Styela clava: one gene and its partner. The protein of the gene in region 2 binds, or shares a complex with, the protein of the main gene of each other region. Links are inferred from orthologs where the notes say so. Each region holds a gene or a part of one and is shown on either strand. Other genes may lie near its edges.

What was found.
Region 1: U5 small nuclear ribonucleoprotein 40 kDa protein-like (region 2) and pre-mRNA-splicing factor RBM22-like share a complex: the UniProt entries of both Homo sapiens proteins name them as parts of the postcatalytic spliceosome P complex. The link is inferred for Styela clava from reciprocal best matches to the Homo sapiens genes SNRNP40 and RBM22.

The regions. Positions count from the first base shown.
Region 1 is NC_135260.1:8,228,269-8,239,053, forward strand, and holds the start of pre-mRNA-splicing factor RBM22-like, read left to right. Parts: upstream 1-6,534; 5' UTR 6,535-6,676; coding exon 6,677-6,730; intron 6,731-7,092; coding exon 7,093-7,146; intron 7,147-8,514; coding exon 8,515-8,677; intron 8,678-9,118; coding exon 9,119-9,219; intron 9,220-9,982; coding exon 9,983-10,155; intron 10,156-10,350; coding exon 10,351-10,557; intron 10,558-10,785. Other genes in the region: cytosolic sulfotransferase 3-like, read left to right, coding at 1,748-1,988, 2,394-2,507, 2,703-2,812, 3,142-3,283, 3,501-3,616, 3,719-3,896, 4,198-4,310. UniProt on the Homo sapiens protein: Required for pre-mRNA splicing as component of the activated spliceosome. Involved in the first step of pre-mRNA splicing.
Region 2 is NC_135250.1:11,928,615-11,939,140, reverse strand, and holds the start of U5 small nuclear ribonucleoprotein 40 kDa protein-like, read right to left. Parts: upstream 4,420-10,526; 5' UTR 4,405-4,419; intron 1-4,404. UniProt on the Homo sapiens protein: Required for pre-mRNA splicing as component of the activated spliceosome. Component of the U5 small nuclear ribonucleoprotein (snRNP) complex and the U4/U6-U5 tri-snRNP complex, building blocks of the spliceosome.

The DNA.
Region 1 (10,785 bases), on a different chromosome or scaffold from region 2:
AAGATTACGTCACTACAACCTCACAATCACGTCAAAGAGCTTGCCAGAGTATAACTACAATCGCCCGAAATGGCATCTTCGGCGGCGATATCGAACTCACTTATTAACGCCAGGTATCGGGATCGTTACGACGAGAGAAATAGCTTGCTCGATTTCGGGTGATCGCATGCGCGTCTTGAATGACAGTTGGTATAGTTTGGAGGACCTTAAGGTTACTGTAGCGTCGTAGTGACGTAATTTTCGAATGACTTAGTCAGATGGGAGTTAAAAATATCATATGTAATATTGTATTTTTTTTTTGGCCCCATTTTTTTTTTATTAATAATGATAGAAATGCAGCGGTAGAACTCATGCCATAGTACTAGACTAGCTGTAGCTTTGAGGTGGATGCCAGGTAATAGCGTAGTAGACGTCATGTCATATGACGTCACCATTCTGAGCCCAAACAAAGTAAATAGACTTCTCGACGAGGACTTTCACAAATATATCGCAACATACCCTCTCAAGCCTTGGGCGTTAGATATATACCAATTACTTACAGTGCGCATGTCGCGAAATAGCTATAGGTTAACCATGCCTTGTTTGGAAGATAAACAGCCAACAAATTGTTGCACAAACAGCCGTCAGGCTGTTGCAATAACTAAGCGCTGCTTGTTGTGGTCGGTGACCGTACATTTGAACCCATGTACATTTGAACCCATGCGTATATCCACGGGTTCAATCTATATGCGGGTGCTAAAACCCATGGGTTAGGGTTAGTATGGGTTTAACTATCCGTGAAACAAAAAAAATTCCATAGGTGCAATAGCATACAGGTGCAATTGTCATGGGTTCAAATGTAATGGAACCGTTGTGGTCATATCGAGTTTCCGTTTTAGACGCCGCAGTACTACATGCCTAATATGGCAAACTATACCTATACGTCATGCGACGCAATCAATCAATCAATCAATCGTTTATTTTGTCATCACAAAAAAACACGTTCAAACATAAAGTGACACAATGAATAAATTACAGTACTAATCATGTTTTTGCGTGACTGGAGTCGCGAGGCACCTAAGAAGGTCTTCAAGCAGCGACACCTACAGCGCTACAGGTTAGAATAAATATAATTAAATAAGGGATAAAATGAATAAATCCTAGGAATAAGTCACATAAGTTACAGCGACATTCGAAATGTATGCGATTATGACACAGTAAAACAGCAGCATTTTTGAGCGGCAGACAAGCAGCATAAAAACAAGCTGTCGTTATGGCAGCGTACTATGCTATTCGAGCACGTCGGTGATAGTCGCTACTGCAAAAATTTTGCCTCGACGATTCAGCATATCCGTGTAAGATTGGGATTCATGAGTAGAACGCCACAAACCGGCAAATATTGTCTGTTTATTTACTTTGGTGCTACTACGAGATACGTGTAGTACTAGTCACCTACATATAGGCACGTATATATATGAATTAGCTTAGTATTGAGAAAATGATTATTTCTGCCGAGTTTTGTAGTACTTTCTGACGTGTTGTGATGTATACTACGTCGTCCACGAAGGAATTGAGCTGCTGCGTTTTGTGTAGTTATTATACAAAACAAATATACATTGGAAGAACAAATTGCAAATTAATTAAGATTAGATCAAATAAGTCATGTCCTCCCACACTAATTTGTATTTATTTTTTACTTTATGTCGTATCAGTGCGTTACAATAAGAAACGTTTTAGTTAAAATCGATAAAACGCAGAAACAGCCCAAATGGAAGAGAATTTTGCTGAAATACGAGCCTTGTTACCCCCAGAATGCGTTCCCATTTGGGATAAAATGATGAGCATTGATATGTCAGAATTTTTTACTGTCAAGAAAAAGACTTTACCCATTGAAGACTGGAAAGGGCATAAAATGCAACCTTCATTCAAAGCTGAAACCGTCCGGTTTGCTTATGAAGATTGGACGCCAAGAGAAGGCGACGTATTCGTTGTGGCCTATCCTAAAACAGGTATAAAATTTATAGTAGTCTTGTATTATTAAATATTTTTGGGATACCATAGATCTTGTGGGATGTAGGTCTTGTTTGCGAAAAAAGGTAACGACTAGTTTTAACATTAATCGTCTAAACTCTAATTAATATAAATTTTTATATTTATCCAACTATTAGTTGTTGCGCATCTTTTGCGTCGCAGACCATAGTCTAGGGACAAAACATATTGTTTGGATCGGACAGTCAAGATTAGATCTCCTGCCGTATTTGATAGTACATTAACATAGTTACCCAATTGATTATATATAAGCACGTCGGGGTTTGTATTAAAAAGGGGCGAGAGACAAGTTGCTTGGCCGAATTCTCTATGGGTTTTTAAAATATCCACATTGAAGCCAGTCATCTACCCATCTCTTATTACAGGACTAAATTGGACAAACGAAATTGTAAAACAATTGTTATACTTTGGACAAGAACGAGACTACAGAATAATGTCAAGTCAGCCAATGGTCATGAGCCTTATTGAAGGAGGGTGGTGTAAGCTATGTTTTCATTTTTGAATCTCATTCGAGAACCATGATTACAATCTAATCATCTTTAATTACTATTCTCTAATAAATGACAAGGTTTTAGTTGAATATTTGATTCAATTTGCTATCTTTGTGATAATCGACCAATGGCCGAACTAAAGTTGCCTACGGCTCTTTATCGTTTATAATTTTGTCTTTGCAGCTGAAAAATACAAAATATTTGATGCAATGCCATTAAAAAAAAGAATATTATGCACACATTTACCTGCACCAGTGATAAATGTCGACAAAATCAAGAAAGTCAACGCGAAGGTAAACATTTCAAAAAATGTATTTCACCCATCTACTCAAATACGATATGTTATGTTTTAGTTTAAAGAGGCGTCCTTACACAGTATACTCTTTTATTCCACATTTTAGTAAAATCAGTTGTTATATATATATATATATTATTAGGGAGTGTTTCATATATTTTGGTTCTGAATTAAAAACACCCGTTTTGTGCCGAACTACTATATATATATACTATTTGTTTTTTATATTTACCCTGGGCCTGGAAAATTTTTGTCAAGAAAGAGTTCCATCTATTATAAACCATTTCGCTGCTCTCCGAAAATTTCAAGTTTACTGTTTCTTCTTAGGTTGTCTACGTGTTGCGCAATCCCAAAGATCAAGCAGTGTCCTGGTTTAACTTCATTCCAAAGTTGCCGAATCTACAAATCGAACCGCTAGATAAATTATTTGGATCAGACTGGGCTACTTTTCTGGACAGCTTTATTGCGGGTATATATTTAACATTTTTATCTTTCCATTTGAGTAGTATATGACTTTACTTTTTATCGGCGACTTTGTCAAGCATGTATGTATATATATGTGTGTGTGTGTTTGTGGGATTAGTGTGTGTGATTTCTTCAAAAAATATATGCACGATCGTGTCATTCCTGTGTGCCTGAGATACACTTTTACCGGAATTCAGAGAACATTTTTTTTTTATATTTAGGCAAAATGCCCATCGGTATGCGTGACGGGGAATGGTATTTGGACCATATTTTAGGATGGCTACAGCATAGAGACGATAAGAATGTGATGTTTTTCTATTACGAAGATATGAAACAGGTATGTACAAAAATGATATCTCATAACAACACACCTTCTGCCATTTTATCATTTATTGCTATATGTTTAAGTTTATATATATATATATATCAAATGTAATAGAATCCGGTAAAAGAATTTAGCAGAATGGCGAAGTTTTTGGATTTAAATCTCACTGAAGAAAACATACGAGAAATTGCCGAGAAAGTTGCCTTTTCGAGCATGAAAAAATCAGATCAAAAAAGCGGAAAAGAAAATGTTGATCAAAATTTGAGAAATCAACTTGGAATACTTAGAAAAGGTGAGGCGTAAATTCATAGCAGAGTCTGCTTTAATGCCAGCACACAGTTGTAGTTCCAAACAGTTGTTCTCGCCATTTTAAAAATCTTTTAAATCAACGCGTTTTCAATTTTTTTTTAATTGTTGAATTGTTAATTAAGAAGTTTATGAGCGTGAGAAATGTGTTATTCTCTTTTTCTTTTAAGTATTCGTTGACTTTGTTTTGACGAAATATTAGATATATATACCAAATTTTTGTGCAAGCTAAGTTCTAGAATAATTTAAAATATCGTATATATAATATAAAACGTTTTTTCTATCAGGTGAAGTTGGTGGTTGGAAAGACCATTTCACGGTTGCTCAATCTGAACAGATGGACAAAGAAGTGAAGAACAAACTTGGAAATACTGATATAAAATTCAAATACACTTTATAGTTAGATAGAAAAAAGTTGAAAATGAAGCACGTTTAAATACAAGTTATTAATATACCTAAATATATGAAATCATGTGTTTTCCTTCTATAGCTGGTTCGACAATATTATATGCTATATACGTTTGGAGAAGCAAGCAAATTCGGCATGTTTTAACACCGCTTTTGTACGCCCTCAATACTTTGTGAATGTCAAAATCATAGCAGTTAACAAATAAAAGTGTGATTTTTCAACTTTGGCATAAACTCTTGATCACAGCGCAGTATATGGGTTCGAGGTCAGATGTGACTGCGTTGAATGCTTAAAACCAGGCAACGCAAAGGCGTGGGAAAAATTGAAGAAATGTCTGTCCCATGACTGTTTATTTAAACCAGGGGTGGGCATCATACGGCCCGCGGTCCAGGTCCAGCCCGCGACGAGATTTTGACTAGCCCGCTGACTGTATCCAACCACACTATGTAATGTGATCCGACGCATCATTCCTGAAAGTTGCCGATCGCTCTACTCCCACCGCACTGTCAGTGCGAGCTGGTGAAACAAACAATTGCTTTAGTGAACAAACAATTGCGTTAGCACACTTGTTAAACAAACAATATAAGGTCAAAGCAGGGAGCGTTGTAAACATTCCCTAGCACTGTTATCAGTCATATTTAAATTCTAAATATAAATAGATTTTAGAAATTAGATTTTATAGATATATATTAGGTTTTATTGACCATGGAATATCCCAAGAAACGTACAGTTGACAGAGAGTGTCGAGCATTTAATAAAGATTGGATACCGAAGTATTTTTTGTAAGAATCCGACCAATCGAGGACTTCATTTTCCCACATCTGGCCCGCCGACTAGAAAAGTTGCCCACACCGGATTTAAACCTTTGGATAGTTGGATAGATATTGCTAGTCTTATAGTTTTGCATTTTATATATAGCATTGTTATATATGTAAACAATTTGAATAAAATATAAGCTTTTGAAGCGTTCAAAACAGACCTGCTAAGTGCTAATTGACCTGAATTTTTTCAGTTGGGTTTGAGTTCGAATGGAAAGTATGTCACGACTCACGAATCTGATTTAATCTGGTGAAATGTTTGCTCGCCAATACACAGGACAACCTTTGAGATTCAGTAAACTAGATTTGTTTTATTGTACAAAGCAACCTACCAAATAGTAAAAATGTAACGTCATCTCTACTATCATACAACACACAAAGCCAAATTATAATTTGCAATAAGGTGTTGTTATTAAAGTTAATGGGGACCAGGTGCAAGATGTAAATTTTATCGTATTGTGATCTTATTGAGAGTACCCTGCGCATATGATGGCCCTTCACCGTAATCTCCAGATAGCGATGTTGGTTGGTTAATTCGTTAAAGCCATGGTCACCGACAACAACTGTTACGCGAAATTAAAATCCCCGATTTTGGTAACACAGAAACTTAATATTATTAAGTTACAGAAAGATAATATTATTCATATTTTCCCCAGTAGAAAGGACAGTTTATAAGACATTTTCTTTCACATTTACATTCACGTACAATAACGGTCAATCTTATACATAATACAATATATTGAATATTGGGAATACGATACAATATAAGGAATACAATATAATGACCTCGTGGTCGTATCGCCCCCCGAGGTCTGTACCAAAAACTTCTTAGTATTTTTTATTGTTGCAATGTTCGTTTTCTGGTTGATGAACAATAAATTTTCTCTCTTTCTCTTAATCATGTGATTGGCGGTGGTTTCTCGCTCGTGAAAAGAGGGATACGATAAACATTTAAATAGATGAGAGCAACTAGAGCCCCTCGGTCGCTTACCAGAAAAAAATAAGTCCAAATGTTGCATCACCATTAAATTCTTACTGGTTAGGCACTGATGGACATGAAAATGCCCAAATACTACACGCGGATATCTATTTTTGGATAAATAACTTATGTCTCCGATGTAGTTGTGCTGGTATCCGACTGTTTTTTTTTCAGCTTTTCACTTCTCTCATTTTGGTTCGCGTATACAATATTGTTCAATTCGATATATTTGTAACCATGCGATACTTGAATAGTTAAAATAATATTTAGTCCGTGTTTTTTTCCTGGTTTTATTTTGGTCGAAGTATTTTAGTCTCCGGTGCTAAAATTGATAAAGCTGGTTGTAATGTGACTCCGTACACTAATTTGCTCCAGTGGTTAACGCGAAAATAAGCTTACGTTCGTTTTTCTTGATCGGTTTATCTTTACGTCTCACAGTCTTTAAGATCCGAATAGTCTATTTGCATTCTGCCTGGTACCGGTACCGGTATTACTTTTTGGTTTGGAGGTATAACAATTGAAGTCGCGATCTAAGATAGGGAAACACTTGAATATCAAGAATGGCGACATCTTTAGGAGCTAACCGATATAATCGTCAAAACTGGGAAGAATCGGTGAGTTGTCAAAATCATTCTGTCAAGTTTATGACTTGATATTCATAGCACCCATACCTGCAAACAATTGAATAAGCTTAATACGGAATAAATATAGAATTAGGAATAAAGCTATAAATACATGAAATAGCTTGGAAAGGTTGAGAAATATACAATTGGACAACCAGAATCAGAACAAAATTATTTTTAATTTTTGCCTGACCTCAAATCGCAGAATCATTTATTTTTGTTTGACTTCTGACATGTATGAACCGAATGATAATAATAAGTATAATTATACAAGTTGATACAGAAATGTCCTAATAAATTGTAGTGTGATGAATATTGAAACTGAAATTTAAATCTTCACTTTCTGACTTTAGGATTTCCCGATTCTATGCCAGACATGCCTTGGAGACAATCCATACATCAGAATGGTAAGTTTTTGTGTTGCCATCGACAGAATTGCTTGTTGTAGTCGTATGTACCGTATTTATTCAATTATAACGCGCACTCGTGTATACTGGTATAACGCGCACCTTTAAATTTTGAATGAAAATTGGTATAAAATTCTTTTTTTTATTTTTTCTCTACTAACTACTGGTAAGCACATAAGGTAACAACTCACAGCATGAACAAAAATTTATTAAAAGCACACAGTAATTCAAAACTCTTCAAAATCGGATTCAGTCTCTGACTTTTGTGCAATTTTTGTTTTCTGGCGTAGTGCAAGTCCATACCTTCTCATAAACTTTTGTGCCCAACCATTAGATGCTTTAAAGGTTGAATCTTTGCAAATCTTTTGTGCACGGAGTCTAATATGGAGCGAAGTGACGATGTACCCACTAGATCTTTGATCAACTATCCAATCATAAAGCTCCTTCTCCAACTCTGGGTACCGGGCTTGTCTCCCTCGCCGCGCTTTCTTTGTTTTGTTCATATCTTTTGAACAACTTTCTGCTTTCTCCAATCTCTGACATTTGTCTCTGGTACATTGAATTCTCTAGAAGCTTTTCTATTTCCATGAGTTTCCGCATAATCAACAACCTCCAGTTTGAATGCAGCCCTATATGCAGAACGTTTTTGTCTTGCCATAATAGATAATGGGTAATATATAATGGGTATCTACAGTACAGTACGATAATGGCAAATAAATATTCTCAACGCAGCGGGAATGTCAAACACATGCTGAGCTGTCGCATGTGCGTGTGCTTGCACGAAATCGAACGCTTGCACGAATGTCAAACGCACGCTGAGCTGTCGCATGTGCGTGTGCTTGCACGAAATCGTCCTGCATTGGAATGTGCATGCGCGAGCGCACGCACGTTTCAGATGTTTAAAACCACATTTTCAATACCGCATTTCTCAGACCTCGTGTATAACGCGCAGCATTGATTTTTGCCTAAAATTCAGTTCAAAATTTTGCGCGTTATAATCGAATAAATACGGTATGTAGCTTATTGTCATGATTCAGTGATTATTTCAATTTTTTTAAATTGAAACATTTCACTTCACTGATTAAAATCCTATAAACAACTAAGTGTAACTGTGTTGCTATCTAATCTACCTCTAGTGACTTTAATAGCTGAAAAATATTCTGATAAGATTTAAGACAAACCAAATTTTTCGATGAAAAAATCTGCAATTATCGGTTAAAAAATCTTAAATTATTACAGCAGTTAACGGATAAAAAATGCTAGTGTCCACAATTTGGACATCCCTGCTATAGATGAATTCAATACAAATATACTTTTCCATACTTTATATACTAATGAGAAGAAATCAACTGTTTTTGTTTTTCATAGACTAAGGAAAAATTTGGCAAAGAATGTAAAATTTGTGATCGACCGTTCACAATATTCCGATGGTGTCCGGGTGCCAGGATGAGATTTAAGAAAACTGAAGTCTGTCAAACTTGTTCAAAACTCAAAAATATCTGCCAAACTTGCCTACTGGATCTCGAATATGGTAAGGATTACGATAAACAAAATTTGTCTAGTTGTATATCTATAAGTTAGTATTAGTACTCTTGAATAAACACTTAAATTTATAAGCCTTATTTTAAATGCATACCGGTAATTATTTCCAACAAGGTAAAGAGATGTTTTTATGCTCGGGCCATGTGATGAAAGAAATGCACTGCATTCCATTAAAACAAATAACCTCCGATATTTTTGCAAAATCTTAGACACATAGCGCGTGTGAAATTTTCGAGGATGTGTAAGCCTATTCAACTAACTACTAATATATTTCATGAATGAAATACGGTTCAAGTAAACAAACGAGAAATGAGATTTTTGGGATGTAGCAGCCATGTTGAAAAATTGGCTACGGCATACTTATGTCAAATTCAATTTCAAAATTGGGACATGCTCTGCTTTTCAGGCAAATGTTTACATTAATTTTCAGGTTTGCCCGTTCAAGTTCGAGACCATGCACTGGGACTGATTGACGATCTTCCCAAATCAGACGTAAACAAAGAATTTTATACTCAAAATATGGAAAGAGAGGTAAATATTATTTCAAGTTTGGTTATAAAATATTTATACACTATTTTCTCAAAATGAGCTTCAGAAATAAATGTTCAAATTTAAACAGTTGAAAAATGCTTGTCTGAAGAAGTTCGACCTCGTATAAATGAAACGTTACAGACATACATTTATGCTAGTGTGCAGCAAGACTCTTGAATTAAATTAAATATTTAAACTGCGAAAAAACACAGTATGACTCTCACATTGCGTCAAATAAAATAGTAATGATTTCAATTTATATTCAACAGTAATCATGTAACTACCCTGAAAAAGGTATATTCTAAGTGGTTCCCAACTAGGATTTTGATCTCGGGAAGGAATTACAGAATATAATTTTGTATTATTATTTAGTTAATACTAGCCTAGCCTATTATTGTAATGCATATTTATCCTCACATTATAAACTATTCAAATTTGCAAAAGCAATCGCGCTCCAGAAGTGTTTGTATGAATATGAAGGTAACTTATTTTGTTTGCCTACTTTACATCAAGTTGTGTAAAAGGACTGAAACCTATGGGCAGGGGTATATTCACTTGGCTAACACTGACAGTCCCCGAACTCGTAATAGAACTAAAATAAAGAAAAAAACGAATAAAAGTATGTCCTAACCCTAACCTGGTACACACACTACGGGAGTACCAAAGCCAGTGTGCGAGTTGCAAATAACATTAGCTCACGATCCCTTGAAAATTGAACAAATAACAGAACAGAATGTTTCTAACATTTTCAACATATTCACAGATTGCTAATACAGATGGAACAGTAGCTGTGGGCTCTGTTGGGAGAAGTCAAGCTGCCAATGATTTGCTAATGAGAATGGCAAGAACCACACCTTATTACAAAAGAAATCAAGCTCATATTTGTTCTTTTTGGGTAAAAGGGGAATGCAAAAGAGGAGAGGAATGTCCTTATAGGTATGAAACATTGCGACTTTGTCTTATTGATCTAGCATTCTATTAAAGGAATGTTGATGTAAAAATAGAATTCCCTCCGAGACCAGGCAACATCATTTAGTCTTGAATATTCTATTATAGACTCATACTGTCTAAAATGAGTTTTTTATTAATCTATTATACTTATTATTATTTACCTGTAATCATCTACAACAGGCATGAATCACCCACTGATCCAGAAGATCCTCTTTCAGACCAAAACATTAAGGATCGTTATTATGGAATTAATGATCCAGTTGCAGATAAAATGATGAAAAGGGCTCAAAATTCTGCTGATATAAATCTGGTAGCCCCAGAAGATAAAACCATAACTACTTTATATGTAGGTGGTCTCACAGAGGAAATAGAAGAACAAGATTTAAGGTAGTGTGTAGCTCATTGAAATACTTAAATAGTTTTGAAATTGAATGGATTCCAAATAGAAATAGGCAAAGGAATCTATATAATAATTTAATGACTTCAAAAATATTTGTCTGATAGTTATATAAAACAACCATAGTACCATAGGCTAGTGATAACTTGACTTGAGATAATGGTCATTGTAATCAGTCATATAAATTAATCTTATTTTTATAAATATAATATTGTTTA
Region 2 (10,526 bases):
CAGTGGATGCTTTTGGTGGTTCAGCCGCCAAAGCCGCAATAACACAAACAAGAATATCGGTCAGAGACCGAAGACTTATCGATCGAAAGTTAGGGGCGCTTCTACTCCATAGTGACACCTTGTGTCCCATCACTAATCAATTTATAACTCGCTAATTATACGACATAATTCATTCAAAATCAATATGCTTTTGGTCCAACATATGATGAATACACATGCAAAATCTGGAGCAGATTCAATCTCGTATTCGTGAGATATCGCGTGCATCCAACAGACAGACATACAGACAAATACCTATCAACATACTTACCGATTAGAATCGATAAGTAATGATAACACTGTTCTGAAAACTCAACTTCCCAGCTTACAAATTGAACTATATTTTGAATAGACCTTATTCATTAAAAACCCATCCTACGCGCAAAAAGAAAAGTGATGTAAAATTTTTTTCGGTACCATAAGTTATCGAAGTGGACTAGGGGCAGAGTAATTCTGCTATTATGTGATTGCATTCATTGGATAGTGATAAAAGGGCTATGCCAGAATTATAGCGCAAAAGTTAGAATTCAGTTACTCCCAGGTAGGGATGGACGACATACAAATACCGAATCCAGAGGATTCGAATCCCTATGACTCGGTTTCCACCTCTTCGGGTCGTGCATCCAAATTTCTATTTTTGATTTCTATTTTGTTAAACAGGGACGAGCGTTTTTTTCTCGCGACGAAATATGTCTTGTGTGACTTATGTTTATTGAAAAGAGCCTGCAAAAGCGTTTGCGACAGACATCAAAGAAGGCGTTATTGCACCATTTTATCATGACGCATCACTCAAGCGTAACGAGAGAACTGTGTAACTTAAATAAACAAAGACAAAAAAATCGCGAGCGAACTATATTAAGTTAACTATGATATCACTGGTGTTGTTTCTACATGTGCTTCCAACGACTTCAGACTTTATATATTTCTATTGTAACTTATGAGACGTGCAACATTGTTTTTGTTTTCTTTGAATAAGGCAAAATTAAATAACTAGTATTTTATTCAGTGAATTAGTATTTATGCTGTTTCTTAGTTAGTTTTTTGCACAATTCATTGCACTAAAATACTTTCAACATTAGCATTTGAATGAGGCACTATCATTGCTTGTGTGACGACCCTTGTTTTATCTGTTAAACCTAACACAGCCGGATGACATATACTCATTATTATTATGCCTAGTCTAGCTCTAAAAATTAATAATGATGTTTTACAGTCAATGTTCAATAGTAGAGTCGTATAATTCACGAAAAAGAGACTCCAGCCGTGACGCAAAGTGCGAATCGTATAAATAGCGTTGATTTCAAAATCGCCATTCAGATGTGTAAAATTGTTGACGCGACTCAGACAGAAAATCAATAGCATTAACTCCTTTATAATGACTTATTATTGGTTTAGCATGTATTTTCAGTCAGACATATCATCCCTGGCGCTGTGATATTTTGATAAATATGATTTTGACTGCACCATACTTGGCAGAGGTATCCAGAATTTTCAAACGCGAAAAAAACGTAAAATTAATGGTAATTTTCACGCGTAACGGCGCACATTATAATGTTTACGGCTTTCTACGCGCATTTCCGTCGGAAAAAGTAACATTTTTTGCATTGAGGGGGGCGTGTGCACTAATAATTAGAGGTGTGGCGTCATCAAAATTGTCAATTGAAGCCTTGAACTTAAAAATTTAGTAAATACAATCGTGAATTTTAGAGTGACCATCCTTGCTATAATAGTGGTTTTGGTGCTGTTCTGTTGAAAAATAACACAAAAAAAGGTTAAAATAAAAATTAATTAACTAGGAATAATTATTAACCTTCTACTAGACACAAAATCTTGCAAGTTCAATAGAAATTTTTGAATTTTGGCGTAAAAAAATTTTTTTTTAGATGAGTGCGTTTTACATATATTGCTGAATAGAGCTCTATCACACGCTAATAAAAAGCCATGAGTGAAGCTTTGGGGGCCTAATGGTTGACAAAAAATAACCCATGTAAAATGGCACCAGACAGATCGGTTGGGGAAGGTTTTAAATGCTGTCATGTGAAATTATTGTCTTATTTGGTATTTTGACAATGGGGACACTGGGAGGACACACGCTGTGACACTGTCGGTTCTGTTCTTTTTGGGTGTGGCTGTTAGCGTGTGCTGTGCTGTGGTGTGATGTGGTTGGTACCGGTACAGTGTGGTTGGATTCTGGTCATGAGTGTCGGTGGGAGTGCCTCTGGTCTCAGGTGGGTTATCAGGGATCTTTGTTTGTGGTTTTGTGACTGCGGGATGGAGATTTGTTGGATGTTTTTATGCTAGACAGTAGGCTGATATTATTGTTCCAGTACAGTGCCATTGCAGTTATTTTATCGTTGTATTTTTGATTGTTGTCAGGGAATTAGCTATCATCAGTACTGTTCAAAGTGTTTTTATTGTGTATATTCTGTTTTCTTGCATTGTGCTACCTGGTACTTGTCGCTTTATTGTATGCTTGTCTTTTGTTTGAAGTATTTGGTTGTATTAAGATTGATGAATAATAAATAGAATAAAATAACATTACTTGAAGTGAATATTGAGAAGAAACTTGACGTCAGACCATATTGGAAGATATTTTGAACTTGGATAATTATTTCATCGTCTGTCGGTACGCTACACTTGCTTAGCGAACTCAAAGTATTCTGAAAATGAAGTCAGGGAATTTTTTGCATATCCTTCAGCCCAAAACTTCCCTGATTCTGTGTTGTTGTTCCACTTTACAAGGTTGAATATTTTTTTGAAGCCTCTGTTCCAGCTAGTTTATAACGGGAGATAAGATAATAAATAAGCCTGGAATTTATATAATCTTCGATTGTACAAGTGAGTAGTGGATCAGCTTTTAAGTGGGCGGGACTAATTTAGTAAAAATAGTTTTGAAGAGCTAGAGATTATTGGTATTTCTATCTACAACAGCCTGAATGTACAGCCATCGGGTTTTGCAGTCAGATGGTATTTTCAATGAATGTAGCCCTTGATTAATTAATAAAGTTGATTGTCTTTGTAATAATTTAGCAAACAAATTATGAGTTTCAGCAATTAAAAACGGATATAAATTTACAATGCGCATCTGGTAATGACATATTTAAATAAATTCGTTGAATGGAAAATGTAAGTAATTCGGAGACTTATCGTGTAAGGCATTTTGAGATGTTACATAAAACGTACCAGGGTGATCGTCTGCGCCAACACATCTATGGCTATGCCATTGTTCAACTACGGTAAGAACTACTTTCGCGGAATAATTGAAATCATCCCTAACGTCGTTTGTGCAACCAGTTATGGTTTACGGATATATATATATCTTCTTTTTTGAGTATCGTGAAGAAATAAATTACTGACTGATGAAAATGACTATTTGACAATATATTTCTTACCACGTTAACCTGTTGGCTGTCAAATCCCTTCTCCACGACCATTGATAGGCCCTCGGGAATCTCGATGTGGATTGCCCACAAATTTAGGGAGATTTATCGCTTGATTGGAGTGGCACTGTAAGAGGGCGGCGATGGCACTGGAGCCGTTGGCTCTATTGCTTTAACCGCTGCGTACGCTGGCTGCGCATTTGCCGAATCCTCCAATAAGGATTCCATGTACAATTTCCCAGCCTGGTATTCGTCTTGAATACCTTTTGGAAATCTTCTACATTAACTTTCGTACTGGTCTTTTTTGCCCCCTTTTCTACAGTTGCGAGATTAATTTCGGCTTTCTTGACCTCTTTCTTTGCCTGTTCCAATTCCTTTTTTTAGCACTCGATAGTTCGCGTTGCATTTCGGCAAAAAGTCTTATCAAGTCTTTGCAGAGTTTCTTTTCCGTCCCGCTAACATTCTTGTGTCTCTCTATGGCCTGTTTGATTAGACTCATTATTTCCCGAAGTTTCTCTTCCCCCTTGTAAGGCGCGCCCTCCCCTTCTTGAACCAATTTAGCACCATCTCCTATAAATGTCTTGGAAAAGTATTAACGTGCAAGCATGCAATTCTCAGCTCTTCTTTTAAAATTTCTCTCGTAAAGGCTGGTATTCTGGACTGGTGTTGCCGTTTTGTTGGCGACGCTGGGAATCAGTAGTCCTGTCCCTTACTAATGCTGATTAAATTAGTCAATTAGATTAGGAAACGATTAAAGCTACTTGCAGTTTGCGTCTTCTCGCAGGGCTGCCTCTCCACGGCGATTTTCTTGATGTGGTGCTGTCTCGTTCGGTTCTCTTGCAGATCTTACAGACGTACAACAGCGACACTCAGATGTTCATCGGTAAATTGTTTATCGTTTCGACGACAGAGGTCTTCGTCCACACCAACTCGAGTCTCAGAGCGACCCGAATCTGCCGATCTTATTTAATTTTATGGTCTAAGCCTTAATACAACCAAACACTCCAATATTAGTTCGGTTAATACAAAAAAAACATAATATACCCAAACTAATATAAACATTTAACATATTGAAACGTTGTCTACACGAAATTTCAAAACACCAACTTGATCACTGAAATATACATTTATCAGTGATCATAATCGTCACTACTTTTCACATAATATTTTGCTAAATATTCGATATTTATGCATGAAAATATCATTACACACACAAAAGATAATTGGCATACGATATGAAATATTGTAACAAAATCACATTGTTCATTGAATAATTCCATAGACACATCAGCTCTATGTTTAACCATCCACAATCGACCGTAGATCGCCAAGGACCCTTGATACCGAAGTTAATCTTTCATTAGAAACACCTAATATGGTGCGTTGGTCATGACAATGTAATCTGCCGTGACAATTGCCCTCAAATCAATCCCAGTGGTGCCTCCATTTTTTTCGAGTGTTTTTCTCTGCTCAGTCATATTTACTCATTTATAAAGTATGTATATAACTTACAGATAATTACTCCGCCGAGGTGAAATTGTTCAAATACACTGAAACCGGAATATATGTTACATTCATCAGCAATTTAGTTTTTGCATGGTGGCCCCGATTTTGTTCCTAAGTCTGGTGGGTGAAAGTATTGGTTATATTAAGAGTTTTCAACTGTTCCGTTTTATAGTTTTTTTATGAGTTTTAAAATACAAGTTGGAACAATCCCAATAAATAATCGCATTCAGTATGCGGTATAACTTTACTATGCAATATAACAAAATAAAAACATGAAATTACGACTTACATTCTCCATTCGGATGCGCCCGATTAATCAATAATGAACAATTTAATCAAAAATAAATTGAACATTAAACTCAAAAATAATAATAAAATAAAGTTTCAAGTCATTTAGTCGTACGAGTAAGCAAGATTACCTAAAAGATTAAAAATGAGTAGTGCATAAACCAAATACATACACGATATAAATATATGCGTATTAATTCCTTAAGCCCTAATAAAAATTCAGATATAAGCACAAAAATGAAAATACATACATACACGCTAAGTTTAAATCAATGAGAAATTCCAAAGTCTTATAACATGCTTGATCCCACATGACCTATTCATACAATAATTACATTTCATAACGTGGGTGAATTGATTGACAGGTGGGATAAACTTCATGTCGAACATTTTCAGAAATCGTTTGCGGTTCAATTACAAGTCAACAACATGTGTTTTTTGTGAGAACATTTGAATATTCAACATTTGATCAACAATATTCCCAATCACTACATCATGTTGCAATTTCCAGAATGAAAGACATTTAAACTTTACAATTGGCAAAAAAAATTAAAATACAAAACTCAAAGACATTTAACGTTAACAACTTTGTAACTAATTCTAAACTAAAATAATAGTAATAAATTACGAACATTTTCTTACAATATAACTTAACTTAGAATCCCATTTCTAATTTTTGAGATCAAGATTACGTGAATAATACAAATAATTAACATAAACCCTTTTTATAATATCAAAAGCGACAGTCCAGGTTTAATTGTGAGTCATAAGTGCCCAATTTACGTAAAACCTTTTTGCAATATATACGAATGCGACGTTTTGCTAAAAAACCACAAGTCATAGACTTTTCAACATATGTGACCTCATTTCGCAGAGAATTTCCTGTTTTCAAGACTCACTGCTAAAATAGGAATAGTTTCTTGATATGCAGTGCGCGGACAAGACCACGCTAGCATTTAATGACTCCCTGTTCACAGAAAATTAGTTCCATGACTCTACCAAAATAAGAGTTCATATTTCCCAACTATGCCAAAATAATAATAACCCAATTTCGACTGTAAAAATTTTGCTCTATTATCCTATTCGTATTTTGTGCTATTAAATTGAGCTTTAGACAGAAATCATTTTTCTAAATATTCCAATTAGCTTAGGCATACGGTGCGTACGGCACTTTTACTCGGATGCCCCGATATGTTATTCGTACAACAAAATATACGCTAACACAAATTTTTTAACAATAATAAATATCTTTGTACACTGCCACATCGCTCTACACGAGTCAACGCCGCACTTTTCGCTTAGTTGCACTTCTCCACCCTCTAATCGCAGTGTTCATCCGGGGTGTTACTCGATTACTCGAAAGTAAACCCCTCAGCAAAACTTTACAACTTCCCTCCAATATGAATTTTGTCACGTCATTGGATATACGAAGTGCATCTGCTTCGGAGCGGTCATTATCTCGGCCAGCTTCTGGCATATCCCGAAACGAGTGATCAGCAGTCGTCATTTTGGGTTTCGCATCATGATTTTGCTTTTCAACTGCATTTGGACGTTTCCTCGGATTTCATCCATTTTGATATTAACATATTCTTCACTATTCTGCTGGCTGGTTCTCACAGAAGGTTGATCAATGAAGACTTTTTTCTCTTTAGCCACTCGGGCAGATGCTTTGCTGTTGTTTCTAGATTCTGGCAGCTTGCTCATACTTTCAGTATTGACCAGCTGTATCGTCGCCTCATCTGGGTCCCATTCAGGTGTTTTTTCAGGGCATACCTTGGCCATTTTCGCCGAACATTCATCTTTGTTGTTACTAATATATATCATTCCGAATTTGCGTTTTACCAAATCTGGGCTCTTTCCAGATTTTATCCAAGGGCCCTCGTTGGCAAGCTTCATTTGTCAGATTTGTCTTGGCCGGGAATTTTGTCGTCTTTCCTACTCTGTACCTTCATTGAATTTGCATAATACCGACTCTGCATACGGGTTACTTTATCAGGTTCATTGTCGTTCATGATTATCGGTTCATCGTTAATTGCAGTTAGTACTACGGAAAATTTTGATGGCATTCTGGACGCGACTAATATTTTTGTTACTTCATCAACGGGCGTTACACTGCATTGGGGCCCGATCATGGCCCTAATCCTGGTTATATTAGTGCGCGTTCCCCACTGTGAAGGAGTTGATACAATGAATTGCGATGTCTGCATCCTTCTCTTATTGAAATTAATGATAATACCAAGAATTTTTAGAGTCGTGAGAACTGGTAATCTGGACCGGTTATGTCGGTTTTTTGATGACGTTGTGGATTAGTAGTTCTGTCCCTAACTAATGCTTGTTAAATTAGTCCGTTAGATTAGGAAACGATTGAAGCTACTTGCAGTTTGCGTCTCCCGAAAGGATGTGGTGTTGTCTCGTTCGGTTCCCTTGCAGACGTAAGACAGCGACACTCAGGTGTTCACTGGTTAGTTGTTGTTTATCGCTTCGACGAAATAGGTCTATATATTTCTGCCTATCTTATTGACTTTAATGGTTCAAAATTAATACTCCAAAACCAGATACTCAATATTAGGTCGGTCAATATAATATAATAAAACATAATATAACATAAAATAACAATAAAACATAATATAACCAATATAATATAAACCTTTAACATATTAAACCATTGTCTACACGCAACTTTAACACTTATCACTCAATATTTTGACAAATGTATTAAATAGTTGATGTGAATGGAAATATCAGTACACACGCGAAAGATATTCGGTATACGATATAAAATACTGTAACAAAATCACATTGGTCATCGATGCTAGTATTACAATAAAAACATCAGACCTAATGCAGGGTGCTTTGTCCGGAGATATCGGGGCAAAATTGTCTTGCGACGATTATTTCAATAATAGGGCTGGAAATGGTTAACCGATCAATCGGTTAACCGATTTTACATGGTTAACGGTTACGATTTATTTTAACCGTTAACTGACATCTCAGGTACAAATCATCTTTATAATGTACAATTAAGGTACATAAAAAATGATTAGTTCATCGCAAATTCATCACCTGGGGTGTTTAATTCAAAAGAACATCACTAACTGTATTGGTGAGGTCCCAACAATTGTAAAAATAATTGAAGTACAAATATTACTGATTATAAAAATTTGAAAACGATAAATTCAGAATAATTTTTTTGCCAAAATATACTGTTCCCGATTTCATTGCAAAATCGTATATTCGATGTCATCCAAAAAGTGCGCAGTTGATGCTGTTTTTCTTTATGATATCTCAAAGTAGAAATTGCTCATCGAACACTGAGAATTTGTCTGTTTAATACCGGAATCGGGTCTTATTGAAGTATGTTCGAACCACGCTACATATCCCTTGCAGTAGCGCGATTATGGAACTATCTCGATTCGTAAATAATTTTAAGGCGATACCGGGATAAGATCAATCGAAATGAATTTGTAACGATTGTGACGTACCAATCTAAAATTATAAATTATTGCGTGAAACGTCAATCCGCAGGTAACCGGTTGAATCTACCCGGTTAACGATTAAATTGTTTTACCTGAAATTACCAGCCCTATTCAAAAACCTTCAGCGGTAAACACCTTAATATACGGTCACATTCATAAATCAATATTCCATTCAGTATGCGGAATAACTTAATCATGCAATACAATAAAACACAATACAGTACACCATAGGTTCTCAAAGTGCTCCATACGGAGCCCCAAGGCTCCGCGAGAGAAACCCAGGGGCTCCGCGAGCTATTCGATTACTTTTCAAAATACTGACCTGGCTAATTTAAAACTGTTCCTAGAAGCAATAACAGCTTTGATAAAATTTAACAACAATATAGCCTCGAAATATGGCAAAGTGGCGGACTTAAAAAATGACATTATTTATAAGCAGGAGCGCAGCCAGGATTCTTAAGAGGGAGGAGGTTCAAATTTGGAATCGGAAATTTATGCGCAACATTCTTGGCGATTCAAAAACAACGGATAACGAGATTTCTGTTGCGTAAAATATTCAATTCATGACCGATGTGAGCGTGTCTTGTCGTAATAATTTAATTGTGCTCATCGTTACTCACGTTCGATTCCAGATTACTATTAGGATTACTAAAATGAAAGAATACTATTCTAAAATAACATAAACTGCCAACTATAAATAAATTGGAGTCGTATTTTTGCGATCTTGGGATTTGTTAAACTTGATTTGTTCTCCGTCGGTAGTTTTAGAGTGGAAAAATTTTATTCTGGCGTGAGTCTGCTGAAACAAAACGTATAGTGTTATCTTCCATTTTGAGTTTTAGTTCTAATATTTTAGAATGACGCTTTTTAATCAAGAAATTTGAATTGCGGATTTACCTCTTTATTAACTATTATTTTTAGCATTTCGTCGCCGATGATTATAATATGGTAACATGTTTTTCACATTGAACTTGTTATTCCCCACGAGAACGAAAAAGCAATTATCGTCGTCATTGTGGAACAATACATGTATATGCCGAAGGAAATTTTTGATTTAGTGAGAATAAACACCGGCGTAAAGATGTTTGAGGTTTAAAAACACGCCATGCTGACGAAAACAATCGGCGATTGTAACAAAATGCAATCGCGCACGTTATTAGCGACCTTTTAAGTCTTCCAAAAATGTCAAGAGGGGAAAAGATTCGTCGCCTAATTTATTAATATGTTTGTCATGTGTCAAATTTACAGCTTTAGTATTATACAATTTATCTTTGAAATTTAGATTTATTTATGACTTTTATTAACCCTATTAAAATGGTTTAGTATTTAAATTGAGTAAAGTACGTTTAACTTACTCAGGAATATTAATCGGAAAGTAACAATTTTAACATTTATTTTGGGGCTCCGTGAATAATAGTCAACCTTTTCAAGGGCTCCGCAACGCCAAAAGTTTGAGAACCCATGCAGTACACAATTACAACTTACAATCTCCATCCCGAATATGTAAAAAAGTTTTATAAAATTGACCTTATAGGCCAGGGATGGCGAACCACTGACCCGCGGGTCACAAAGTGACCTACCGCGTTTTATTTGTGACCCGCCAAGCGGAGGCACGAATGAAATAAAAAAATGCTAACATATCAGTGATAAAAAATGATAAAACCGGCTTTAAATTAATCTAACAATTACTAAACTATTATAATGTACCGTCAGTTGTACAGTCAGGGAGGGCTGCGATCGCTCATGTTCGAAATGTTGATTTTCGGGCCGGTATGGTGATTTTCAAAACCCCTAATCTTGTACGCATGTATGCACCGCTGTGTACCGTTATTCAGCA